Nothobranchius furzeri: one gene and its partners. Each later gene encodes a partner of the first gene's protein in a complex. Links are inferred from orthologs where the notes say so. Each region holds a gene or a part of one and is shown on either strand. Other genes may lie near its edges.

Region 1 (3,654 bases):
GGGATTTAATTTTCCGTGTCGACGCCCGACGGCCTGTACAGTAAAATGCTTTAGATCATTCCAAAGCTGCAGGAACTTGTGAGCGAGCTCTGTGTGGGAACGTGTCAGTCATCCATCAGCTCCACTGTTTCACGTTCTGCTTGGTTTTCAGCTGTTGTACATTAAACTGTTTTGTATTTTAATTGTAAACTCTTTGTTTGTCCTGTTCTTTATGGAGCGGGTCGGGCTCTGCTCTAGAACTCAAGAAACAAACGGTTTTCATTTTCATCAGTGGTTCTCCTTCCTGTTGGAGGGAACGGCTGAAATCAACCCTCTGGAGTCCGGGTTCGTTACTAAAGTTCTTTATTTGACAGCAGCGGCGCATGACGAGCTCCGATCAGGAGCAGAGTCTCCGCATGGCCTTCAGAACGCTGCGGCTGCTTCCGTGTTTACGGAGCATTTCTTTGGCCTCCTCCTGGAGAACGTCGGACACGGATGACGAAGACCGGCTGAGATGAAGGAGAACAAGGCAACATTCCACCACATCTGGGCGAGGGAACATCTGGAAAGCAAAAATACCAGAAAGAACTTAGTCGGCAAAAAATGAACGATGTTTAGTAAACGTCCGTCCGGAGTTAAAGCAGGACGAGGAAACTCGTTTTCACCGCTTTGCTTTAGCCTCATGAAGCTTTAACTCCTGATCAGCAGCTGGAGACGTGTGTGTGTGTGTGTGTGTGTGTGTGTGTGTGTGTGTGTGTGTGTGTGTGTGTGTGTGTGTGTGTGTGTGTGTGTGTGTGTGTGTGTGTGTGTGTGTGTGTGTGTGTGTGTGTGTGTGTGTGTGTGTGTGTGTGTGTGTGTGTGTGTTTTTTACCTTGATGGATTCGGGCAGGTCCGACAGCTCCTTCTGATATTTGGACATCTTTGTGGACAAAGACAGAAACGTCTCCTGGTTTTCCGAACTGAACAGAGCACAAAGGTCAAATTAAAAGTCAGGCACCAGATTAGCTCTGGGGACATTTCGTGTGTGGGTGTGTGTGAGAGAGAGAGAAATCTGTCTTCTCGATCCCCAGTGAGTCGTGGAGGATGGCTGCTTATACTGAGCCAGGATTCTCTGGAGGTTTCTTCCTGTTAAACGGGAGTTTTCCTCTCCACTGTCGCTAAATGTTTGCTTAGCATGAGGATTGCCGTATAGTCGCTAACAGTCAGTGACTTGATGCAACCTGCTGGGTTCCTTATATAGGAAACATTATTTCTGATTGGCTTAATGAACTGACCTGAATTGGAATGTTTATTATGTGAAGGTCCTCGAGACGACTCTTGTCGTGATTTGGCGCTTTATAAATAAACTTGAACTTGTTAATTCTGTAATCTGAGTTTTTGTTTAATAATCTGAATAAACAACCAGATTAGTTGTGAGATCTAATTAGATCTAATAATTGGACAAATTGAGAGACACTGGTGTTAAACAGCCTCACCGCTGCTCCGCATCAGCACCGCTCGGACCGTCTGATAAGGGACTTTGGTCCTGTTGGATCCCAGAGTCCAGCTGACTCCCCAGGACGCGGTTGTGCTGCAGAACCATGGCGGCCAGCTGGTCCTGGATCTCCTTCACAGATCTGTGAGCAGCCTGACTGATGGCGTGCGGCTCCGACAGAAGGACAGACACATCAAAGTCCAGTTCCTCCGAATCTGGGTTCTCCAGCTGGTCTTCTGGCTGTTCAGAAGGAAGTCCGTTCTGGACGTCTTGTCTGCCCGCCGAGTCTCTCCACCAGAACCGGTACAGACGGTGGTAGGAGACCATCGCCTGCAGGCTGCTGGCCGCTGCACTGGATGCTTCTGTGGTGGGATGAAGAGTTTTGGAATGTCTCCTGGAGAAAACCCGGATGTCTCCTGGAAAACAAAACGGCTCGGTTTGATTAAAGAGTAAAAATGGAGAAGGTAGCTTCTGACCCGGTCTCTGGTGAGCACACGGGTCCAAAAGGATGAATCAGTGGTTTTGGGTTATGGTTGCAGATCACCACCAGCAGATGGCTGTGGTAGGCCACACACACACACACACACACACACACACACCCACACACACACACACACACACACAGAATTATGGGTTTCTGATCATCTGGAGCTGAATGTGAATGGAAAGGTCCGAATGGGCTCGGTACCGTCGGGGAACAGCAGCCTGCAGAACTCTGCAGAGACACAGAAGTGTCCCTCGTCTCGGAGCCAGGACGCCGCCCGCCACAGCTCCTCCAACAGCTGCTGGCCGTCGTCCACCAACCAGCTCAGCAGCGCCCGGGTCAGGTGGACCGAGCAGTACAGCAGAACCTGACGATAGAGACACATGCACTTCAGCTGATTTAAAGAATGGAAAGTTTGTTGTTTTGGACCGTGCCGGGCCAGACTGGACCTGTCTGAGGGGGATGCTGGTGCTGGGTGTTGGACTCTCCACCCTCCTCAGGTCCTGCAGCAGAACATCTGCGCTGTCGGCTCCAACACCGAACTCCTCCTCCCACACATCAGTGACCCGGTCCAGAAAGAGGGTGGATCTCTGACCTGGCGATGCCCACGGATGGCTGGAGGCGCCGGGAGCCAGAGGGAAGACCTCGGAGCTGTCCAGCAGCGCCGCCAGCAGCTCAGCCACACACAGGTGGATCCTGTGGACCTGAACAGAACCGGGGTCAAACAGCATCTTTACCTGAAACGACCCGCTAAGGTTCTGGTTGGGTTCTCACCAGAAGGCCCGGCTGTGAGCCCAGAACATCCTGCGCTCCGACCCAGTCGTGAGCAGCAGCCAGGTCTCTGGCACATCTCAGAGCCAGCGACTGGGCCAGAGCCTCCTCTCCGGAGATCCGGGCCAGGCTGGCGGCCGTCCTCAGAGACGGAACGTCGTTCTTTCTGGAGACGACTTTGGCTGCATCGAAACCACAGCCAGCAGCGAGGTAACTGGACCGGAACCAGAAGAACCCGTTAGTTCACTAAAGCAGATGCTCTACATAAGTTCTGAAGGTTCTGACCATTTAGCAGCAGCAGACAAATGTCCGTCTCTCTCCAACACAGCGGCCCAAGACGTGTACAGGTTCTTCAGAACCACTTCATCTGCCGGCAGCCGGGCCAGAACCAGAGCGATCGCCTCTCTGACACACAGAACCGCTCCGTTAGCATCCGACAAACATCAGAACCACTCAGTTCTACCTGGGTTCCTACAGGTGAACCCGTCTGGTCCAGCGCTTCAGAACCTGTAGAGCTTGTTGGACTCCAGCAGCGCCACAGCCTGGTACGGTTTGTTGACGGAGAGCAGGTGAGACGCTGCCTTCAGGTACTGCTCCTGCAGACACAGCTGCTTCACAAAGGCCTCCACCGTCCGGCGCCACACCTCAAAGCCAGCTGCAACAGCAGGAAGAAGAAAGTGACACGATGTTCTGACACTTGACTCGGGTCTTTAGCTCACACGGGCAGGACCAGAATAAACACGAATCATCTGACATCCTGGTTCTGGGGCAGAGGCTTAAACAGCCTCAGTTTGGAGAAATACAGGTGCTGGCCAGTAAATTAGAATATCATCAAAAGGTTGAAAATATTTCAGTAATTCCATTCAAAACGTGAAACTTGTACATTATATTCATGCAATGCACACAGACCAATGTATTTCCAATGTTCATTACATTTAAATTTGAT
Region 2 (3,754 bases), on another chromosome or scaffold:
TCTACCTCACCCATCAGGCGACCCTCTGTGTGGATCCGGAGGTCAAGGAAGGATGTTGTCAGCCTCTGGGTACTCGGTCCGGTAGGGAAGGCGCGAGTGGTACCGACTCTCTGGTCCAAGAGTTGCCGCTGGCACACAGGTGTTGAGTTTGCGTCTTAACTCTGAAGGAGTTTTGTGTCAGCTGGTGCAGGTGGCGTTTATTCGGAGCGATTCTATCAGCGTGACAGAACAGCTTAGTGGAGGCTTCGGGCGGCCGACCCTTGTCCTCTGGGACTCTCGTGCCACGGAGAGGTTTTGGTTGGTTCAGAACTGTCAGCTTGAACTGAGGAGTTTTGGGTTTTATTAAAACTCAGAACACGCCCTCTCAGAGATAGAAAGCTTTGGTTATGGAGCAAAGACATGTGAGGTGGTTACCTTTACCCTGAATTCAGTGTCCTGCATGGTGTGTATAAGTGTACATGACCTTCTTTACACTGGTAAACATTACTGATTATCATAAATAATAATTATTAACCAAAGAATAATAATTCATTTCAGTAATTAAATACATTTATAATGAACCGTGATGATTATTTATGAACCTTGTAATAAACAGTGAAAAGAGTTTATTAAAAATGATTATTTTAAATCTTGAAGTGTCCTTCATCTTAGGATGGAACAGCAGACAGATTAAAGGCAGTCAGATTAAAGATGGTTCTAGAAGACTGTGCGTCTCCTGTGATGGATAATCTGTGGACAGAAGTTCAGCCAGGACAGCGTGACCTAGCTGGGGAAGTGTGACCTTTGGGTCACAAATATGGCCATTCATGTCGCTACATGTATGCAGTGTGTAAAACTGTTCCTACGTGCAGATCTGTGCATAAGTTTGTTTGATGAATGAGGGCCCTGGAGTTCTAACAATTTATTTTCGTGCGAAAATTTAAAAAACTATATTTCCACTAGCATTAGATTTGTTGTCAACCAGCTGGAGACGAGAAGCAAACTCACCAGCTGTGGAACAAACTCTCGCTCTTCAAACCAGCTGATCAGAACATCTAACAACATGAGAACTGTGGACTGAGACAAAAATATTAAGACTGTTAAACTGGCTAAAAACAACATGGATGTCATCGTAGACCCCCGTTTACCTGGTTTAGTCTGCTTACGATGCTCAGGAAGGGAGGGAAGCCAATCTAGACCCAAACAAACCATCAGTGAGACTTCACTTCCTTGGTCTCATGAAGGTGCCACAGAATTTTCATGAGTGGCGGATCATCAAAGGATTAAATAAATACACTTTATCTGTTTAGATTGTTTGCTTTTGTGGGAGAAGTAGAATGTGGAAACATCTCAGCTTTGATCGATTTAAATCAGGTAAACTCATTCTGAGGAGTAAGCGCTCACAAAGGCAATAAGGTGTAAACAGTTGTATAACCTTGCCGTAGTCCAATGCTGGTTCTTGGTGTGCATCCGTCGGGCCGGATGAAGTTCCCTGATAAACGTTCTCCCCTAAACAAAACCTCTTCCAGCCCTCCTCATCGGTCAGCCTCGGCTGTAAGACACCAGCGTCAAGCTTGCATAAACCAAACCTCCAGTGTGATGCTGCATGACAAGATTCTTACAGGTGCTTCAAATCCACCTTAACATGGGATTTCTGTCTCCCCTTGAAAGAATGCTGATTTCGGTTTGAGTAGTGAATAAAAATCTCACCATCTGCACGTTGTCATCCAGAATTTGGCTCCTCCAGTGTTGCCTGTTCTTGGTGATGCTCTGAGAAACAAAAGTGACTAAAGGACACTGTCCAGTGTGGACATGTTCGTAACGTGTGTTACTGTGTGGACATGTTCGTAACGTGTGTTACTGTGTGGACATGTTCGTAACGTGTGTTACTGTGAAGTCTCACCTGTCTGACGTCAGAGAAGTTACTGACTTGCTGCTGTTGCCACCTGAGGCTGGGGGAGAAGCCCTGAGGAGCAGCATGACATCCTGCTACCTGGAACCAAAACATGTTAAACATGTGGTGTGTGTGTGTGTGTGTGTGTGTGTGTGTGTGTGTGTGTGTGTGTGTGTGTGTGTGTGTGTGTCACTTACCGACACATTAACAGTTTGCTTCTTCAGTTTTGTGGGATCGATCTGAGCAACGACCACCTCCGGGCATAAAGAGGCCTCCAACCTAATGAAACACCAAACTTATAAAGCTCCGTGGTCGAACATGGTTCTGATTCTCGAGACGGTTCGGCTCGAACATACTGGACCTGTCGGAGGTACTCCTGGGGGTTTCTGGGGGTTCCACTCAAGTCCAGGTTTCCGCTCCCGCCTCCGGTCTCCAGCGGCAGGAGCCTCGGCATTAACTCCTCCACGTCCGACTTCATGTTCTAATAAAGTAAAAGAACAGCGGAACCGAATCAGGTAATGAAAAACACGCAAGTTTCACTACAGCACAGTCGCCATCTTCTTCTTCTTCTGGTGTTTTATTGGCGGTTGGCGAACAACGAATGGTGCATTACCGCCACCAACTGGTGTGGAGTGTGGTCTGGAACAGCGCTCATAAAACAAAATCAAACACGGGAAAGAAAGAACAAAAAAATACATATATATACACACACATACATACACATATATATACAAATACATATATACATCAAATTCTCCCAAACATCCTTATCTCTTTTAAAAACTGAAATAAAATCAGAAAACAGTCGCTTTTTGAATTCTGTCGGTCTAGTTTCACTTTGATCTGTCTAAGATTTTGAATCAATGTCCTTCTTCCTGCCTGATACTTCCGACATTGTAATATAACATGAACTATAGTTTCTTCTTCTCCACAATAATCGCATTTCCCTGTATTATGTTTCCCCATCATGAATAACGTATTGTTTAACCCAGTATGTCCAAACCTCAGTCTAGAAATGATCACCGCCTCTCTCCTACTCCTTCCAGTGTTTCTTATTTCTCCTACTCTTCTTTGAATTTTATACAACCATCTTCCCCTCCTTTCCTCCTCCCATTGTTTTTGCCATTTTTTCTTCATTTCTCGCCTTTTTATGCTCTTCATCTCTTTCTGACAAAATCGAACATCTAACTGAACCGAAGTATTTATTGTAGCTTCCTTAGCCATCTTATCGACTCCTTCATTTCCACTGATTCCACAACGAGCTGGAATCCATAAAAAATGTACTTTAAGTCCCATCGTGTTTATTCTATAAAGTGTTTGCTGAATCTCTAGGAGTATGTCTGGTCTGCTTCCTGAATGGCTGCACGTTAAACTGGTTAATGATGAGCTGGAGTCTGAACAAATAACTGAGAATAATGGTCTGTTTTCTTCCACCCATCGAACTGCTAACAGGATTGCGAGAATCTGTATAAATTTTTACATAGTTATAATAGTGATCGATATAATCCTGTGCTGTATGTGAGTTTAGTATGAAAGACTTATCCATATTCTTTCTCTCTAATAATGATAAATCAACAGACGCCTCAGGAAGAATCCATGGCGGAACAGCAGGTAATGGAACTCTTTGACTGATTGTAAACCGATCTCATTTAAGTTCTACTGGTTTTTTGATCATCACCCATCCAAAACTTGTTGTTTCCTTCTTTTCTTTCTCCCAGCAAGGTTTTGGTATGTCTCGTGTTGGATGATCTTCTTCCTGACCCTGAAGATTTGCCCAATAATTTAAAGCTATTCGTTCTCGTCTGATTGCTATTGGCATCTCACCCGTCTCTACCTGTAACGCTGCTATTGGGGTTGTTTTAAATGCTCCAGTACAGAGTC
Region 3 (3,754 bases), on another chromosome or scaffold:
TAACAGAAACAAAGAAAGGTTGGTTTTCTTTTTTTTTAAAACACATGCAAAACAGATCGTTTTTCTTCACCAGGACTTTGAGGATGCTGCTGGTGGGAATTTTAGCATGATTTAAACACGTTTTTTTTTTTTCCTGAAATGTTAAAATTAAGAGTTACTCTGAAAACAAGATCATTTTTATGACACAAGGTGAGATCTTGCATGGAGCCCAAGGTTGAGGGAGATTGTGAGTGATCTTGTATTTTTTTTTTCATTTTGTAACAGTTGATCTTCTTTCACCTAGGTGCACCACTTGCACCAAGTGACTTGCTGTATTTTTCTGTTTTGAGGTTTCTAAGATAACACATAAAGAACAAGAAAAAAGTTAAGAAGCTATGATTTGTCTGGTAAATGGGATAGTGAAATTCTTTTTCAGTGGTTCAGTTTACTTCCTTTTTGAAATATGTATGTCCAACAATCTCAATGAGTCCAAACGCACATTTGCAGAGTGTGTGAGTGAAGGGGAGTAGAAAGAGAATATATTATTAATAAAAGACAACTTGTTTTTACAGCTAAACGTTTTAAGAGTGTTAAAAACAAGAAAAAAGTGCATTTTCCAACAAAATTCAAATCATGCATCTCTACATCGAGAGCTGAACCCCACTCACGCTGTGAAGTCTGCAGCAGCTGTGGCTGCCTTGGTGGCGTCTGTATTCAGAGTGGCTCCCCAAACCGCACCTTTGTGACCCAGAAACGTTCCGATCCAGTCCCCTGTGTCTCCCTGGCGCAACATGGGCTTGCCATCTAACAAAAGGAAGAAGGGGATGGTGATGTACTTGTTAAAACTCCCATGAAAAGATCATTAATATGAACTTTCTCAAGACATTGAGTGGCTTTCAAGCAGCTGGTGTAAAATGTTAAAAATCAGTTTTGTATTAATCTGAGCTGAGAAACTGGGTGTTTCTCAAGGTCAAGGAACCTCGCCTTGATGCCTTGGTCCCAGCCCAGTTGCCTAAGAGATACGTCATCAGGAACCGCCAAGACGTGTTCCAATGTTCATGTGCTACAGAGGCGTCTGTCCTTCGTTTGTCCGCCGTTTAGCTAACTGACTGAGAATACATGGGAGGTGTCTTGTTGCCTTCTCTGACTGAAACATTTCTCAGAATACACCACAGTATTTTCAAATGAATGGCGGATCAGGAGCCGGCAGCTACTTCAGGGGCAAATTTCCAGTTTAAATGCAAGTCAACTAATTGTAGCTATCAGGCTGATATCTGAAATATTTTTTTAGATTCAAAGCAATTATCTATGGTTGGTCAGTTGCTTTGCAGTTGCAGATTCGGTGGCAAGCGGGTAGTAACTTGCTTACATATTTAATTTAACCAATATATACATAATTTAAAAAAGTTAAAGGCTAGTTATACATATATATAAATCTAACTTTACCTCACATGTCACATGACGTGATGGCGGGTCACGTGAGATAAGTCTGTTCCATGTAACCGTTTTCTTTAATCCTTGCAGGACAGTGTCCTCTTAAGCACTGAGAAACAGCCACTGCCTTAAATTATATAGAATGTGTAAAGAGGACCAAACTCAACAAATGTTAAAGCTGCTAGCAGAGGCTTATTAGGGGCACCATGGTAACCATCAGTAGCTTATTACTTTCGCCATGGTATTCACCTTCCCGTTTCCCTCACTCCCTGACAGAACACTTGGTGAGGGTCATATGGCTATTCTGACAGAAAGGGAAGCCTAAGACGAATGGTGATGATTTTACTGTTTTTTTTTTTTTTTTTTTGTAATGGAAGAGAATTTTTCAGGTAAAAATTATCTCCACTTTTTGCTTGGAAACAAGTAGGTGAACACAGAGGAAAACTCCTACACGATGACAAATTTGTATTTATATAAAGTTGTGAAAGAAATGTGATTCTTCAAAGAATGAAACCAGATCGTGAACTGAACACATCTGAGGTGATTCAAGTAATGCAGATAGGATTTTCATAAAAAAAGACATCTGAAATAAATCGTTACAAAGTTTCTTTTGAGGCGCAGGTAAGTCAGGGACCAAAGTGAGAGAAGTCTGTGTGAGTGAGACAGGTAAATGAAGATCCTGAGCAGGGCAGCACCTTGGATTTGGACGGCTTGAGGACTCACCTTTGCAGGCGCTGATGAGGAAGTAGCCAAAAGGAGTGATTCCACTGAAAGCCAGGTCCACCACAGGCCGGGTGTGACCGGAGCAGGTGAGAGGGGTCTGTCTCATCGCCATGCTCCTCCAGCTGGACAGAGGACAGAAGACCGAAAGAGGAAGAGTTAGCTGGTCGCTAACGGCTGGCTTACAAGCTAGGTCGGCTAACCAGTAGCCGAGGAATACGAAACGTCTAATTGGCGCGTTGTTATCAAAGCTGTAACGTCCTGCCGTTGTCTGTTAATTAATCTTTTAACAGCCGAGAATTCAAAGTTATTCTGACCAAATGTCGGCTCTCCCCCAGCAAAAGAATGGCTGTCGTGCTAATAGCTACAACATTGCAACTAACTAGCAACGTGCACTGCAGCGTCACAGTGACAGTGTAGTAAAAGAGTTGACGTAACGTAAGCGTGCGGTGCGACCCGTCGCCGCCATATTGTCAGAGTCATTTGGTAAAGCGCACACAGCTGAAAGCTGAGTCTGATTAAAAGTTCTCGACAGAGATACAACATTCCCGTTCTTCTGGCGAACATATATGACTGTGCGAAGGAGTGGGAGCTGTTTGAGCTGTAGTCTGGAAAACTGGGATTTAAAATTGGAATATTGCAGGAATGAATTGTGCTGCTTTGGAATGAAATAAAGTGGCAGGAAAAATAAAGTTTAGACACAGCAGTATTAGAATATGCATTAATGTAGTCAGTAATAATAATAATAATAATAATAATAATTATTATTATTATTATTATTATTATTAGTTCTCAAAATACATATATCATATTTTCCCGGTATTATAAACAGTCTGATCAGTTTTTCATATTCCCCATTTCATTTTTTTTCTACAGTAGGACTAGCCTGGCCTGCCAGACTCTGTGCAGAATTAAACAGAGGAGGAGTATGGCAGGCCAGGCTACAGTAGAAAACCATGAAGTCAGAGACCCATAATAAGCTTGTTGGATCCAGATTTTACACTTTAAATACAAAATAACCCAGTCTGGTTCTAATCCACCTACTACATTATATCAGGTATTTATTCAGTCTGCTGTTTATGTCTCAAAAACTTTAATTTCAAGGATCAGTGTATGTGACAGTGTGAGTGTCCTGTCACAGTGTCACGATTGATCATGTGCCCTGGCTACTTGACATAGGGGATGTCCTTTTGGCTGACTGGTATGAGTGCGTGACTCTCACCCAGGAGCCTGGGGATCAAATCCCGCCCGGGCCCTCATTTCTCCACCCTGCCACATTTATAACATTGTCTGTGGAGGTAAAAATAGCAATATTCTGTACTGTAGAAATAGAAACACGTATGGATTAATCATCAAATGATTTACATCCTGGTGTCTTCAGGGCAGTGCTCTCTCAATCTCTGGTCCTGGAGCTCTTCCATCCAGCATGTTTTAGTTGTTTCCCTGCTCCAGCACACCTGATTTGATGGCTGATACCAGTTCAGAAGACCATCAAGCCTCTAAGCAGGTCATGTGTATTAATTAATTTAGTTCAAATAGATAAATACAATAAAGTTGTTTCTGCATTAATCTGGCCTTGGAGAAGAGTATAGCACCTATGGGTCTGGCAGAATAAAACAGA

What was found.
Region 2: gemin5 (region 1) and gemin2 share a complex: the UniProt entries of both Homo sapiens proteins name them as parts of the SMN-Sm complex. The link is inferred for Nothobranchius furzeri from reciprocal best matches to the Homo sapiens genes GEMIN5 and GEMIN2.
Region 3: gemin5 (region 1) and strap share a complex: the UniProt entries of both Homo sapiens proteins name them as parts of the SMN-Sm complex. The link is inferred for Nothobranchius furzeri from reciprocal best matches to the Homo sapiens genes GEMIN5 and STRAP.

Annotation. Positions count from the first base shown.
Region 1 is NC_091750.1:72,369,288-72,372,941, reverse strand, and holds the end of gemin5 (gem-associated protein 5), read right to left. Parts: intron 3,364-3,654; coding exon 3,216-3,363; intron 3,114-3,215; coding exon 2,994-3,113; intron 2,923-2,993; coding exon 2,712-2,922; intron 2,642-2,711; coding exon 2,387-2,641; intron 2,305-2,386; coding exon 2,142-2,304; intron 1,870-2,141; coding exon 1,455-1,869; intron 939-1,454; coding exon 851-938; intron 542-850; coding exon 377-541; 3' UTR 326-376; downstream 1-325. UniProt on the Homo sapiens protein: The SMN complex catalyzes the assembly of small nuclear ribonucleoproteins (snRNPs), the building blocks of the spliceosome, and thereby plays an important role in the splicing of cellular pre-mRNAs.
Region 2 is NC_091758.1:40,480,653-40,484,406, forward strand, and holds the start of gemin2 (gem-associated protein 2), read right to left. Parts: upstream 2,473-3,754; 5' UTR 2,352-2,472; coding exon 2,230-2,351; intron 2,153-2,229; coding exon 2,071-2,152; intron 1,973-2,070; coding exon 1,883-1,972; intron 1,777-1,882; coding exon 1,690-1,776; intron 1,532-1,689; coding exon 1,415-1,531; intron 1,173-1,414; coding exon 1,128-1,172; intron 1,057-1,127; coding exon 988-1,056; intron 1-987. UniProt on the Homo sapiens protein: The SMN complex catalyzes the assembly of small nuclear ribonucleoproteins (snRNPs), the building blocks of the spliceosome, and thereby plays an important role in the splicing of cellular pre-mRNAs.
Region 3 is NC_091741.1:63,716,721-63,720,474, reverse strand, and holds the start of strap (serine-threonine kinase receptor-associated protein), read right to left. Parts: upstream 2,544-3,754; 5' UTR 2,249-2,543; coding exon 2,137-2,248; intron 784-2,136; coding exon 648-783; intron 1-647. UniProt on the Homo sapiens protein: The SMN complex catalyzes the assembly of small nuclear ribonucleoproteins (snRNPs), the building blocks of the spliceosome, and thereby plays an important role in the splicing of cellular pre-mRNAs.